Linked DNA regions of Lonchura striata. The protein of the gene in region 1 interacts with the protein of each later gene in a pairwise test. Links are inferred from orthologs where the notes say so. Each region holds a gene or a part of one and is shown in the gene's direction. Other genes may lie near its edges.

Region 1 (6,882 bases):
TCAGAGCTTTTTTGCATTGCATTTTACCAAATATATCCTTTACCTTTCCAGGTATCTCTCACACAAGAGTGGTTACATGACAAACAGGGCTTACACATAGGAAGTGAGTCGAGTTTATTGTTGCTAGTCAGGCTATGCCAGCCATAAACATCTGCCAGTCACAAACAAGAAAAAGACAACTTTATATCTCAGTAGTATGCCAGGGACCTATGAGGACAGTCCTCCAGTTCTTCTGCAAGAGATCTTGACAGATTCTGGCAGAAAGATTTGGTGCCACTGCTTCCCTAAATTTTGAATTTCAGGACAATTTCAAAACTTAGACCACGATTCCATGTCTTTAGGCCCATGAAAATTCTGACTTATGCAACCAACAATCTAGGCTAACCTGTAACTTTTATCTCTGCCCACAAACCATAGAGAAAATGGGTTTTCTAGTATATCACAAACTCTTCATTTATCTTTTGCAACTTATCCCTGTGGGCAGACTCCTTTTTTTACTAACGAAAAATGAAAAACTGTCCCTTTATTGGCCAACAGGACACCTGAGTTTCTTTGGAAACTGTGTCAATGTTAGGTGGCCTCTCTGCACACCTGCTTAATGTCTGAGTATACCTCAGATTGACTTTTACCTCTCTTCTTTGGAGCTCTTTCTGGAGTTTGGGCACAGGTAAGCATGGCTGTGCTAGTGTTTGTATTTCAATTCTTTGAAATAAGTTTGAGTAAGGACGATATAGCTTTTGCATTTAGGGCTGTATTTTCCTGATCCTTCTCAGAGACACTCAGGATTCTGAACACTCAGAACAGTAGGTGTTCAGGCTGCATTACTTTTTAGAGGCAAAAATTTCTATCATCACTGATGACTCCACAAAACAACCAATATGGAAGAGGCGCTAAATATATACTGGTGCCTACAGGCTTACCATAGCATAGCAAATGTAACCTAAGATGTATTCATAGAAATATTCCCAGCAGAGGCAAAGAAGTCTTAGTGGTGCAGTAAGATTACTTCTCTGGGACAGTTTAAGATTTTGACCACATATAAAATATGAGCTAACATGGAATTGTCCCAATAAAGGGTACCATGATGGCTACAGAAATGGAAAGCAGAGCTTCTGAAGACAGTACTGAAGATCTCTATTTTGTTTAGGTTAACAAACCAAATACTGAAGCATAACGGATGCTAATTCCCTATAAATGCATAAAAGAGATAAAAAATAAAATACATAAGCCAAAAATAAATGTTGGCACAAGTATACATGATGCTAACTAGCAATTAATAAATTTAGCATATTGTTTGGAAAAAAAAAATCCTAAATTTTATAGGGAATGTCATTGCATCAAAGACTTGAGTTTGGCACAGTAAGTCTACAGAAGGAAAACACGGAGTTGGGGTTTTTTTCAGTATGAAGATAAATTTGTGAAGGCATTCATGTAGCACAGTGGCTATGACCACAGAAGCCTCGTCCCCTGTTCCCCACACAGACACCACAGTTAAAAGACAGCTCTTTTTCAGCACCAGGAGTCCTTTAAAGTGTGCTGTCCACAGTTATAGTTGTACAACACCCTGTGCAGACACCAGCCACAAGAGCCAAAAGAACCTTTTAGTTTTGCAGCAGAATCCTACTCTGAGGCAGGTACTGATGATTCACTTGTCTCTTAGCTTGGAACAGATGATACATTTGGCCAAGCAGCATTGGTCAACAGCAGCCTCTGGTGGAAGACCTCCTCAGGCTCAAGATGCCCATAGACCATATCAAGGACAGAGGCAAATCTATAGACTGTGTTGGAGAAGTTGACACCTCAGATGTGAACACCACACTGTAGATACTTTAAAGGTAGGTGAAGTAGTAATTACACCCCTGTTATATAAATGTCCCTGTTTTTAACAAAAATAACCCAACATTTCAAAGAGAAACAATAAACAAAACCAAACAAAATGCACCTCTAATAGGAAGCCCTTCACTAAACTGAGAACATTTTCTCCTCTAGTTTTGAATTGCAATCCACACATAGGAATGTTATGAAAGGAAGTGCACTTCTGGTAAACTGTCCTAATGGTAAGTTTATCATTAAATGTTTGCTAGGTATAGGCTTATTTAAGTTCCGTGTCAGAGATTTAAAGGATCATTTGCAAAGTTTAGAACTTTGCAACTTGGTGGCAATCTAGTTACTTCTGGCATGGCCTGTAATTTTATAAGCATAAACTCTAGAGACCAAAGGCAAATCTGAAATGTACTTTTACTAAATTAACTAGAAAAAATTGCAGCAGGAATTATCATATATACGCAAGCTTTTGGTCTCAAATGATGATGTTAATCATATATTAGTCATGATTTATATGCTGGCTGTTTGGTATGCAGCATCTGGGTCTATTTGTTCTGTGTCATGGGGATGCAGAGATGACAACATGACCATAATCTCTAATTTAATGTCGTTTTTATGTATTTGTTTCTTTGTTTTGCATTCACAGATGTGCTGTGATAAGGACAGTAACTGTAATTCTATGGACAAGTGAATCTGTATCAACCAACTTGTCTAGCATAAGAAGACAAATTATTTGCATGTGCCTGTAAAGACAGCTATTATTTCTGTAAGATTTATTGTACTTTAGAAAAACTTTATTAGTTGTTCATGGCATATTGCCACAAGAAAGACAAATAAAAGATCTTAAGAAGTAATTATAAAATAATACCTTGAAGAAAGAAATATTGAAATGCTTTGGTTGCTAAAAATGTGGAGACCTCTTCTGAAAGGATCAGAAGAATTTCTGTATGTATCAAGCATTTTTTATATTCAGTAGCCAACAGCAATTTAATAGCAGTATTTTCTAAAAACATCCATACTCAAATGTTATCCTGTGGCAGGAGATTCCATCAAGATACTAATCTTTTATTAGCAACTCTTTCAGTTAAGAAAATAACGGGGGGGGGGGGGGGGGGGGGCAAGGGGTGGGGTGTTGCATTGTCTGCAATTATTTTATTTTCAGGACTTGAACCTGAAAAGTTTTTTTTTTTTTTTTGTGTACTTCCTGTAGTCATCCTAGCTTTCTCATCAGCAAAGGGATACCCAATAAGGCCACACATCAACACTGGGTTCAGCTACTGGGTGCTGAGGGTGGAGGGTCCCCGGCACCATCCGAGTTGCTGCCCATATCCATCCAGAAGCGCTGGACGCTTTGTCGGCTGCACGATCATTTCTCCTTATGTGCTTCGCTTTGGTCTTCATATTCAAGGAGGGTCGTGGAGTCTCCCTCTCAGGAGATCTTAAAAACCACCTGGACTCGTTCCTGTATCACCTTCTTTAGGTGATCCTGCTTCGGCAGGGGTTTGGACTGGATGATCCCCAGGGGTTCCTTCCAACCCTAACGATTCTGTGATCCTGTATTTCACGTAAAGGCGCTTCTCTTTGAAGGAGATCCCTGATCTCAGCACAACCTAAACGTATGGGCTTCAGGACCCGTCAGATCGCACCTGAGTCAGAATACGCCAGGTTTTTGCAGGGAGATGCCCAGACCCGGAGCCCTGCTCCCTTGGGAACCCAGGCGCAGCCTAAGGGCGGGGGCACGGCCGGGGCCCGGCACCGCGCTCCGCTCCGGGCGGGGGCACGGCCCGGCCCGGCGGAGCGCGGCGTGCGCCCGCTCCGGGCGGGCGGGGGCACGGCCCGGCCCGGCGGAGCGCGGCGTGCGCCCGCTCCGGGCGGGCGGGGGCACGGCCCGGCCCGGCGGAGCGCGGTGTGCGCCCGCTCCGGGCGGGGGCACGGCCCGGCCCGGCGGAGCGCGGTGTGCGCCCGCTCCGGGCTGGGGCACGGCCCGGCCCGGCGGAGCGCGGTGTGCGCCCGCTCCGGGCTGGGGCACGGCCCGGGTCCGGCGGAGCGCGGCGTGCGCCCGCTCCGGGCGGGCGGGGCGGCGGTGCCGGGGCAGAGCCCGCCCGACCAATGGGAGCGGCGGTTGTTGGCGGGCCGGGCGGTGGCGGCGTTGCCACAGCAGCGGCGCTCGGAAGCCGAGCCCAGCTCGGAAGCCGAGCCCAGCCCGAGCCGGCGGTCGGGGCGCGCCATGGAGGGGCTGGAAGGTGAGCGGCAGCGGCGGGGCCGAGGCGGCCGGCGGGCGCCCGGGGCCAGGCGGGTCATTTGTGTTGCGGCTGAGGCGTGTTCGGGCGGCGGGGCGGTGGCAACGGGGCCCGGGCACCGCCTTGCCCATTCGCGGAGCCCCCGCGGCCGGCGGCGCTGCGGGGCTGGGGTGGGGGCTGCGGACAAAGGCGGCGGCGGCGGGGCCGCGCTCCCCGCGCTCCCCGCGCTCCCCGCGCTCCCCGCGCTCCCCGCGCTCCCCGCGCTCCCCGCGCTCCCCGCGCTTTGTCTCGGGCGCTGCTCCGCTCCCGCGCCCGCCCCGCCGGCCCCTCCCTGCGGCGGCCGCGCTCCGAGCCCGCTGCCGGGCCCTGCGGGCTGGGTGCGGCGCAGTGTGCGGGCATCTCTGCCAGGAGCCCTTCTTCTTTTTTGCTAACAGATGGCCAAGGTGGGTGTTAAGATCCGCTTATCTTGCTAGGGAAATGTTCAGTGCGGTGAAGAAAACTAGGTATGAATTTGCTGACAGGGTATTTTCAACTTTATCCTTTGCGGGTTGAATTAATGGAAACGTTCTTACTCTCTGAAATTATAACATCATCTTTATCAGTGATGTTATCCGTCATAGCATAGATATCAACTTGGAATTAATGAAATTATAGCTTGCAATCTGAGCATTTTTGTAGGCCTGTCATTACTGCATTTTGCAAGCTGCTTTAACCATACTACTTTAAAAAATACCTGCTTTGAAAAACTATACAACACAGTCATTAATTCTTCCATGCTCTACTTCTCTAGAGGTAACTTAAATAGGAGTAAGCACAAACTAGCCTTTGTTCTTTATCCCTTTTAGAACAGTTGGAGAACTAAAGTAATTTTCACAGAATACCTATGTTCTGTCTTTAGTAGATTTTACAGTAATCAGATCCTGTTCCTCAGCCTAATGACTTCATCAAGACTCTAAATTTGAACATAACTTGGCATTAAAATCCCAAGAGCTTTCTTTGATTCACTTGGCATTCTTTGCTGACTGTTAATGCCTTTGAAATTTGAAACATGGTGTCCAGTGTTTATCAAATAATACCTTATCAGGCATTCCAGCTCTCAGGACAATGGTATGTTACCTCTCCAAAAGGGGAGAGTTTCCCTTAATTTTGACTGTGAATTCGACTGCATTAGAGACTGTAGATCATCTGCAGCACATCTATCAATTGATTTGGCTGTATGCTAATTTACCAAGGCACTTTATACTTGCTTGTCTTATGTAAGCTCTAGCACTTTAATTACAGGGGGTAGGAGAAAAGTATCTACAGATAACAGCAGAATTTTGAAAAAACTTGTGATGTTTTCATTAAACTTGTCCAGTTCCTGACTTTGTTGGAAATTATTTATATCTTGTTTGTATTTCAGAAGGTATTGGGAATGGAGGGAACTGCTAGATCACAGGTGAAATCTCATGTTTTACTGAACCTTTTCTTGAAAGTACTTTCAAAAGCTAGAGCTTGTCAAAGCATTTTTTCCATTATGTGAAGTTATTATTCTGCATGCTTGAGATTAATTTCAGAATAGCACAGGAAATAAGTTATGTCTAAAACTCCAGCTGTCCTTGCCTTGTGAACACTCATTATGTCACACTATTATCCACCGTCCTTGAATGCAGAAGTTTTTGAAACTGAAGAACAATTTTCTGCATTTTTATGGGTCATGTTTTTATTTTTTAAAAGCCACCACAATATAAAATACTTTTCTGCTTCAAAACATTTGAAGCAAGTGCATTTGCTTTTATTTACAGTTTTTCAGTTTAGGCTGTCTCTGTTCATGAATATTAGCTTAGGCTCAGATTAAGTTTTTGTAGAAAGGTCACCCTAGGACAGAAAAAAATGTAGGCAAAGCCAATAATAATAATAATAATAAAAAATTATTTGGTATCATGCTTTTATTCATATTATTGCTTCATTGGCAACTCAGAAGAGTGTTGCTGGTTGCCATCTTTGATTAAATTTATGTTTGGATGTGCAATTGCACAGTCATACCCATCTGACATAGAAGTATGGACAGCTTCTGAAATCTGGCTCAGCCTGCTGCCTCATTATATTAGTGCTTAGTAATATAATTTCCCAGAGCTGACTGGTGCAGTAGGTTCTTGGCAGCTGTATGTGTGAGGATCATGGTTATGGGGAAGGGCAGGACTTTCTGTCAACAGCAGCCTCTTGGTGTGTCTGTGATGGTGGAAGACCTCCTCAGGCTCAAGATGCTTATCCAGGACTTTCCAGCCTCAGAAGCTGGTGCTTTTGCTTTGCTGAGGATCAGCATTATACATGAAAGATCTGGTTTGCTTCAGTTTACATAAGCACACTATTAATAAGAAAGAGCTCTACCCAGTTTATAATGATCCTTTCCAAAACATGGAGAGATGAATGTGTAATGCTTGGCATGTGGAACTGCATTAATGACATTTAAAAAGCTAATTAATATTTTCAGTGTCACAGTTGCATTTTCTCACTATGTGCAAGTTTAAATGTTCTGTGAAATGGCAAAGTAGGTTTCTATGTCACTTAAAATTTTCTTGTAAAATTTACTTTTGTTGCCCCTTTGAGGCTGTTGCTCTATTAGGTTATTTTTATCAGTATTATTGTATTACTAGATTGAGTCAAATTTGTACCTTTAAGGTTTGTAAAAGTAATGAGTGCATGCTTGTCATTAGAGGTAGTAAATCTGATACTAAGTCTAAAGTTGCTAGCTCAACATTTTTTACTTTGTAGCTTGCATGCTGTTTGGCTGGTTTTTTAAAATTTTCATTTAATTTACTGACTGTCTCTGTCTGAC
Region 2 (7,753 bases), on another chromosome or scaffold:
CTGTGGGCCGAGCCCCAGAGCTGTTGGCCCGGCTTTGTGTGGAAAAGGGATCCCAGCCAGGGAGTGACCCAGGCTCGAGCCTGGCGTGCACGGGGAAGGCTGCTGGGCCACGTGCGTGCCGTGTGCCCAGCTGTGCGTGCCCGGGTGTCTCTGCAGGCAGCAGGACCTGTTCCGGGTGCTGAAGGCGTACACGCTGTACCGCCCGGAGGAGGGGTACTGCCAGGCCCAGGCGCCCATCGCCGCCGTCCTGCTCATGCACATGCCGGCCGAGGTACGGGCACGTGGCTCAGGGGACAGCTGGCACCTCCTGGAGCGTTGTGGGGCCCTTTGGGGGGTGCTGATGAGTGGGGTGCCCGGCTCAGGGCAACCCAAAGGGCTCCAGGGGTGCTCTGCTGCTTGCCACCCTCTCCCGTGGTTCCTGGGAGCAGGGAGTGGGCCACAGGGATGTCCTCTGAGTGCTCACCTGCTGTCCTTGGCTTGCAGCAAGCGTTCTGGTGCTTGGTGCAGATCTGTGAGAAGTACCTCCCTGGCTACTACAGCGAGAAACTGGTAAGTAAAGAGCTCATGGTGCTTTCAGCAGTGGCAGGGACCTGCAGGGTGCTGCATCTGGGTTGGGGCAGCCCCTAGCATCAGTCTGGGCTGGGGATGAAGGGATCAGGAGCAGCCTTGGGGAGAAGGACACAGGAGTGCTGGTTGGTGAGGGTTGACCACACCCTGGCCATGTGTCCTGGGCTGAACCCCCAGTGTGGGCAGCAGGGGAGGGAGGATTCTGCCTCTCTGCCCTGCCCAGGTGAGGCCCCACCTGCAGAGCTGCCCCAGCCCTGGGGCCCAGAACAGGAAAGACCTGGAGCTGCTGGAGAGAGTTCCAGAGGAATCCATGGAGCTGCTCTGAGGGCTGGAGGTCCTCTGCTCTGGAGCCAGGCTGGGAGAGCTGGGGGTGCTCACCTGGAGAGGAGAAGGCTCCAGGGAGAGCTCAGAGCCCTTGCAGGGCCTAAAGGGGCTCCAGGAGAGCTGGAGAGGGACTGGGGACAAGGGATGGAGGGACAGGACACAGGGAATGGCTTCCTACTGCCAGAGGGCAGGGATGGATGGGAATAAATTCCTCCCTGGGAGGGTGGGCAGGCCCTGGCACAGGGTGCCCAGAGCAGCTGTGGCCACCCTATCCCTGGAAGAGTTCCAGGCCAGGTTAAACAGGGCTTGGAGCAACCTGGGATAGTGGAAGCTACCACAGGGCATTTGGATGGAATGAGATGAGTTTTAAGGTCCCTTCCAACCCAAACCATTCCACAATTCTGAATCTCCAGGCCAAAGACTTGTCCAGCTCCTCACCCTGGGGAAAGAAGGGGTCTGAGGAGGGGCTGGGTATTCCCACAGTCTCCCTGTTGTGATGTGGCTCCCAGAAGCATTCAGGGATGGGGGTCTCAGTGTAGCATCCGTGGGACACAGCTCTGCTCACATCAGGTGTAGAGGGTTGGCTGCCCTTGCTGGGACCTGGCCCTGGGGGCTGATCCCAGGGCTGGGGTATTCACTGGGATGCTGGTCCCTGTCCCTGCAGGAGGCCATCCAGCTGGACGGACAGATCCTCTTCTCACTGCTGCACAAGGTCTCCCCTGTGGCCTACAAGCACCTGAGCAAGCAGAAGATCGACCCCATCCTGTACATGACGGAGTGGTTCATGTGCGCCTTCTCCCGCACGCTGCCCTGGAGCTCCGTCCTGCGCGTCTGGGACATGTTCTTCTGTGAAGGTAGGAGCTCCCCACCATCCTCCTCCTCCTCACGGGGTGACTGCACTCCCCACGGCCATGGGACCTGTAGCAGGGCAGGTTTGGGGCAGCCACAGCCACCAGTGGAAGTGGGCAGTTTTCCTGGGGGTTAGGAGGCATGTGCATTCCAAATTCACCCTCTTGCATGTCCTGACCGTTAGTGGGACTGGGATGTGCTGTCCCACAGCATTTGAGGGACACGGTGGCAGTGTCACCCTGTCCTACCTGGTACTCACTGCGTCTCGTCTCCTCTTGCAGGAGTGAAGATCATCTTCCGGGTGGGCCTGGTGCTACTCAAACACACCCTGGGCTCCTCGGACAAGCTCAAATCCTGCCAGGGCCAGTATGAGACCATGGAGAGGCTGAGGGCCCTCAGCCCCAAAATCATGCAGGAGGCCTTCCTGGTGCAGGAGGTGAGGTGCTGGGGACGGCCTGGGGGCCCAGTGCTGCCAGACTGGGCTGTCCCTGGGTGGGCGGAGCATGGGAAGCAGCCCCCAAAAAGCTTCCTTAGCAGTGCCCTGAGGGGGATCCCACACCCAGCCCCGGTGGCACTGTCGCTGATGGAGCAAGTGTCCCCACAGGTCATCGAGCTGCCGGTGACGGAGCGTCAGATCGAGCGGGAGCACCTGATCCAGCTGAAGAAGTGGCGGGAGACGCACGGAGAGCTGCAGTGCAAGTCCCCCCCGCGCCTGCACGGCGCCAAGGCCATCAGCGAGGCGGAGCCCGCGCCGCGCAAGGCTCTGGAGCCCGTCCCCTCCATCATCGTTTCCCCCGGGCCGGCCCCCGTGCCCAAGGCCCGCAAGAGCAAGGAGAAGAGCCGGGAAAAGGGCCCGGCCAGTCCTGCCAACGGCCCCGGGGCCGAGGGCAACGGGGCGCCCGGCACGACCCGGGAGCTGCTGCACCCGCAGGTCTCCCCCCACCACCAGTCCAAGGAGAGCCTGAGCTCCCGGGAGAGCGAGGACACGTACTTGTAGGGCCCGGCCCACACCCCGGGCAGCCGGGCTCAGCGGGGCTGCGCACGGACCCGGGCGCGAGGACACCCAGGGGGACCCCTGGCACCCGGCGCTGGGGGCTCTGAGCTGGAGGGATGGGACAGGGGGGCTGTGCGGCTCCGGGAGAACAGCGTGGCCCTCTCGGGGCATCCGTGGAGCTTGGCCAGGTGTGGTGACCAAAGGGGACACCGTGGGTCTGCGCTGGGTGCCCACCCCGCAGGGTGCTGGCACCACGAGCGGTGGGAGCCCGGGCAGGGGGTGGCTGAGCCACCCGAGCTCCCTCCCCACGCTGGGGGGCTGGGCTGCCCCTTGGGCCCCTCTCCCCGTCCCAGAGCCCCTCGACCCATCACCCCCCGGGTCCCTCCTGTAGCCCCCACCCTGCGCCAGCCGGGCAGCCCCAGCCCCAGTTCCTGAGCACTTAGGCCTGGCGCAGGGCACTGGGGGTACACGAGGAGCCCTGGGACCCCTCGCCCCCCTCTTATCTAGTGAGGATATATCAAGCTGTAGCCCTATATGTAGTACCCAACTTACCTACTCACTGAGCCTATTTATTATTCCTCTGAGGCAGGACAGGGACCGAGGCAGGATGTGCTAGAGGCGGCGGGATTTGTTGCCGAGTTTTGGGGCTGAAGGCCCCCCATCCCATCCCCTCCCATCCCCAAGTTCCCCACAGCTCAGGGGGAGTGTTTACCCTGCCAGGGCTCACCCCACCACTGCCACCCCCCCCCAGGCCCCAGCGCAGGTGAGACGGGGTGGGTGAGCAGCAGCCAGGTGCCCCCTGGTTGTGGGGTCCCCTCTGCCCCCCCCGCCCTCCCCGAGGGTGGGTGGTGGGTTTGTAAAATAAAGCGGGAAAAGCAGTTTTGTACAAAGGGGTCAATAAAGCGAGTGTGTAAAGGCGCAGCCCCGGCTCCCACCTCTCTTGGCCTGGGATGGGGCTGGAGGGTGGCAGGAGGCAAGGGTGTCACCTCCCCTTTGCTGCACCAGTACCAGCTTTGGGGGTACCCTGACCTGGACCCTGCCCATGGTTCTCTATCCCTGGGGGCACCCTCCCCTGCATCCCATTCGCACTGGACACTGACCCTGGCATGCACCCTTCCCTGGGTCCCTTCTCTCCTGGCTGCCCTTGTCCTGGGGGCAGGTGCTGGGCAGTGACCTGGGAAGGGCCACGCTGCTGTCACTGCTCTGTCACCGCAGAAGATGGCCCAGCCCTGCTGTCTCACCAGCCTTGTGGCTGCCCCTTTGAAGTGGAATGGGAGGAGACTGAGACCTGCCCCAGCTTGTGAGAGTGGTGGCTGCCAGGCTCTGGTGCACTCCCACCCCAGCACCCAGGCCTTTCCCCTTTTCCCACTGTCACAGCTCCTGTGGCTGAACAGAGCCAGGGGACCCCAAACTAATCCCATGACACCCCAGAGCTCAGCTTCCCATCCCAAAATAGTGCCCAGGCCATCTCTCTCTTTCTTCCTGCAGGCAAGAATTCTGCCCAAACCTCCATTCCTCCCTCCACAAACCCCTTTTTCCCAGGGTGGACCTGGTTTGGTGAATCCCCTCTCCAGACCTGGCGTTGGGGCTGAGCATGTGGGACCCGGTTGGGTGCTGTGGCTGGGGGTAGAGTGGGGTTGGCAGTGGCTCCCAGAGGGTCTCCCTTGGTTGGGCATGCCGGGCTGTTGAATTGAAGGTGGTTTGGGCCCCCAGGGCTGCATTTCGGGGGTACTCTGGGACTCTGAGTTGGAGCTGCTCCAGGCATCCTGGGGCGCTGAATTTGGGCTGGTTTGGGCACCACGGAGTTCTGCACTGGGGCTGGTTCCGAGGCTCCGGTGGGGCTATCCCGGGTGTCCAGTGCGGGCATCCCGGTGGCCCGGGTCGTTGCCTTTCTGGCGGTGCGGGGCGGTGCGGGGCGGTGCCGGGTCGCGTCCCGAAGCGATGGGGGCGGTCCTGGCGCCAGGCGGGCGGTCACAGGGCGGTCCCAGAGAGAAGCGGAGCGTTCCCGGATGGGTCCCCGGGCGGTGAGGGCGGTCACAGGGCGTTGCCGAACCGAGGCGGGGCGGTTCCGGGGCGATGCGGGGCGGTCCCGGGCCGGTCCCGGGGCGGTCCCGTGTCCGCCCTTATAGTGGCGGCGGCGGCGCTTCCCGGGGCGGCGCGGCCGCCATGGACCTGCACATCCTGGAGCACCGGGTGCGGGTGCTGAGCCTGGCCCGCCGCGGGCTCTGGCTCTACACCCACCCGCTGCTCAAGCTGCTCTTCCTGCCCCAGCGCTGCCGGTACCGGCTGTCCTCCCCCCGCCACCACCCTCCTCCTCCTCTTCCTGCTCTTCTTTCCCCGACTCCCGGCCCCGGGAGACGGCGGCGGTTTTGAGGTCAGCAGCACCGATTTCTTCTGCTTCAGATGCAAGTTCTTCAGCCTGACGGAGACCCCCGAGGACTACACGGTCATGCTGGACGAGGAGGGCTTCAAAGGTACCGAGTGGTGGGTCCCTGGCAGGGCGGGCTGGCACCGCCGGCGCGGGCTGTGCGCGTCCCCAGCCCGGCTCTGCGCCTGGGCCGCGGGGAGCGAGTCCCGGCTTGTGCTTGGCTCCCTCGGAGCGTGCCCGTCCTGCCCCAGGCGCCTGTGCCGGGGATGTGCCGGCTTGCCCGGCCGGGGCTCTCCCGGCGTGGCTGCCCTGCTCCGCCAGCCCCTCCCGGGCAGCGCTGCCACCGGGCTGCGGTGCCGGCCCGGAGCCCGGGCGCTCCGGCAGGGCGCAGGCTCCTCCCGGGATGCCCGCGGGCGGCGCTCCCGGCTCTGGCAGCCTGTCATCGTTCCCGTGTCCAGTTTCATCCCGCCCCTGCTCCCGGTGAGGGCCAGCTGCAGCTTTGGCAGAGCAGGGCAAAGCACAGGCGCGGCCAGGCTGGCAGGGGTGAGTCCTGTCCGGCAGCAGGGTCCAGCTTTTGGGGTGAGGTTGGATCCCTTCCAAGCCAGTCCCTCTCCCGGGGAGGTGCCACTTGGTGACGTCCCCACATGGCCCGGCACGTGCGGTGTGTCACCCTCACCGCCAGCCCTGCCGGGCCACCGGCCCGACGGGCTGAGCCAGAGGGTCCGGATCCCGCCCGCCTTCCCACGCCCAAACCTTCCTGCCGGGGCCGCCGCGGGTCCTTGGCCGTGACCCAGGGACAAGGTCAGCGCTCCGGCCACGGGCACTCGCGGCCAGGTGCCAGGCTCACCTCCGTGTGCTGTGGAGCGGGACCGTGTCCCGGGCTCTCCCCGCTCCCAGAGCCAGAGCCGTTCCCCACGTATTGTTGTATTTTGGGGCATGCAGACAAATATTCCTCAATCCCGAGGGGAGGGCGGGAAGTGCTGAACAATGGTCCTGCAAGCCTGCGGCCCCGCAGTGCCCCGTGAACCCCCCTTGGCTGCGGGCTGCCAGTGTCCCCCTGCTGCCGGGCTGGAAGGGGACCCCCAGCACAGGAGAGCTGCACCCCCTCTTCCCTTGGGATCAGGATTAAGCCCTGGGGTGGGTGACATAGGGACAGCGAGGCCCCCTTGCATTCAGCCTCGCCCAGGGTGGTGTTGAAAAGCGATTAAACACTGAGCTCTGGGACAGGTCCCCATGTCCCTGAGTCCCTGTCCCGCCCCGCTGTTCCCAGCACTGGGCCCTGGGCTGGAGCCGAGGCTGTTCTGGCGCTTCCTGCGCAGGAACAGGCGCTGGGAACAGCCGCCAAGGCTCCGGATCCGGCCCCGCTCCCGCCCTGCCCCGGCCCAGTTTGGGAGCGGAGTACAGAGCCTGTCCCCGGATGGGGGCCCCTCAGTGAGGGCTGGACCCTCCCCCGTGCAGCCTCCCCTCCACCACTGGCGTGGTGAGTCTGGGGTCTCAGCTGGGCTTGGGCACTGGCTGCCCACCCAAGGGCTGGGGGCTTGTGTGGTCTCCCATGGGAGCTGCTCCCACCTTTCCTGGATAGGAGGAGTGGACTGGAGACTCCTTGGGGCCCTGGCCCGTCCCTTGATGGGAAGGGGAGCCCAGAGAAGAGGGAGCAGCCTGACTGAGCCCTGGGTGCCCCAGCAGTGCCAGCCCCTCTCCTGGGCAGGAGGGTGGGAGGCAGGAGCAGCTGGTCTATGCCCACCCTGCCAACACCAGCAGATTTTTGGGAAGCAGCTGTGGCCCTCTGGCAGCCTGGGCTCTCTCCACCAGGCTGACACTAGGTGCTGGGACTCCCAGGACAGCAGGATGACCCTCTCCTTGTCCCCTCCAATGTCCTGTGTGCATCCCTGAACATCCCTGGTGGTGGGCGCTGGGCTGGAGGCTCCTGGGGGGCAGAGGATGAGCTGGGCAGCCCCACGGCCCTGGTGATGCTGGTTTGGGGGTGAAATGCCAACATCCCCATACACCCAGCCTGCGGTGCTGGCACAGGGAGGAGAGACACATCTTGGGGTTTGGGGGCCTGTAGCTTTGGCCCCCCTCGTCCCTACGGCCAAATCCCAGTGTGGAGCAGCTGAGCCCTGTCTGGTTCTTTCCACTGAGGATGGGGCTCAACTGCACCCCCAAACCAGTGTCCCCACACCTGGGGCTGATCCTGCCTTGGGGATCACCCATGGGACAGCGTGGCACGCAGTGCCTGAGCTGGCACTGGCTCTGTGTCGGGCTGTGCCTCAGTGTCCCCGGTCCCTCGCAGAGCTGCCGCCCTCGGAGTTCCTGCAGGTGGCAGATTCCACGTGGCTGGCGCTCAGCGTGGTCTCCAACGGGCGGGAGCCCCCCGGCTGCCAGGCCACCGGCGTCACCAAGATCGCGCGGTCGGTCATCGCGCCGCTGGCCGAGCACCACGTCTCGGTGCTGATGCTCTCCACGTACCAGACCGACTTCATCCTGGTGGGTGACGGGCACGGTGGCCCTGGCTGGCTGTCCAGGGGGAGGGGTGGCAGTGCAGCCCTGACCCCGCGCCCCGGGGCAGGTGCGGGAGCGGGACCTGCCCGTGGTGATCCACACGCTGGCCGGGGAGTTCGACATCTACAAGGAGGAGAGTGGCGAGTGTG

The links. The genes of interacting proteins can lie anywhere in the genome.
Region 2: the proteins of ZC2HC1A (region 1) and CASTOR1 interact in binary tests that used the Homo sapiens proteins (3 or more experiments, as listed by UniProt). The two-hybrid records come from large-scale screens. The link is inferred for Lonchura striata from reciprocal best matches to the Homo sapiens genes ZC2HC1A and CASTOR1.

The regions. Positions count from the first base shown.
Region 1 is NC_134603.1:29,971,514-29,978,395, reverse strand, and holds the start of ZC2HC1A (zinc finger C2HC domain-containing protein 1A), read left to right. Parts: upstream 1-3,882; 5' UTR 3,883-4,051; coding exon 4,052-4,067; intron 4,068-6,882.
Region 2 is NC_134620.1:2,664,583-2,672,335, forward strand, and holds the start of CASTOR1 (cytosolic arginine sensor for mTORC1 subunit 1), read left to right. Parts: upstream 1-4,741; 5' UTR 4,742-4,810; coding exon 4,811-5,013; intron 5,014-5,137; coding exon 5,138-5,208; intron 5,209-7,395; coding exon 7,396-7,589; intron 7,590-7,671; coding exon 7,672-7,753. Other genes in the region: TBC1D10A (TBC1 domain family member 10A), read left to right, coding at 157-271, 484-549, 1,556-1,745, 2,022-2,176, 2,345-2,737. UniProt on the Homo sapiens protein: Functions as an intracellular arginine sensor within the amino acid-sensing branch of the TORC1 signaling pathway. As a homodimer or a heterodimer with CASTOR2, binds and inhibits the GATOR subcomplex GATOR2 and thereby mTORC1.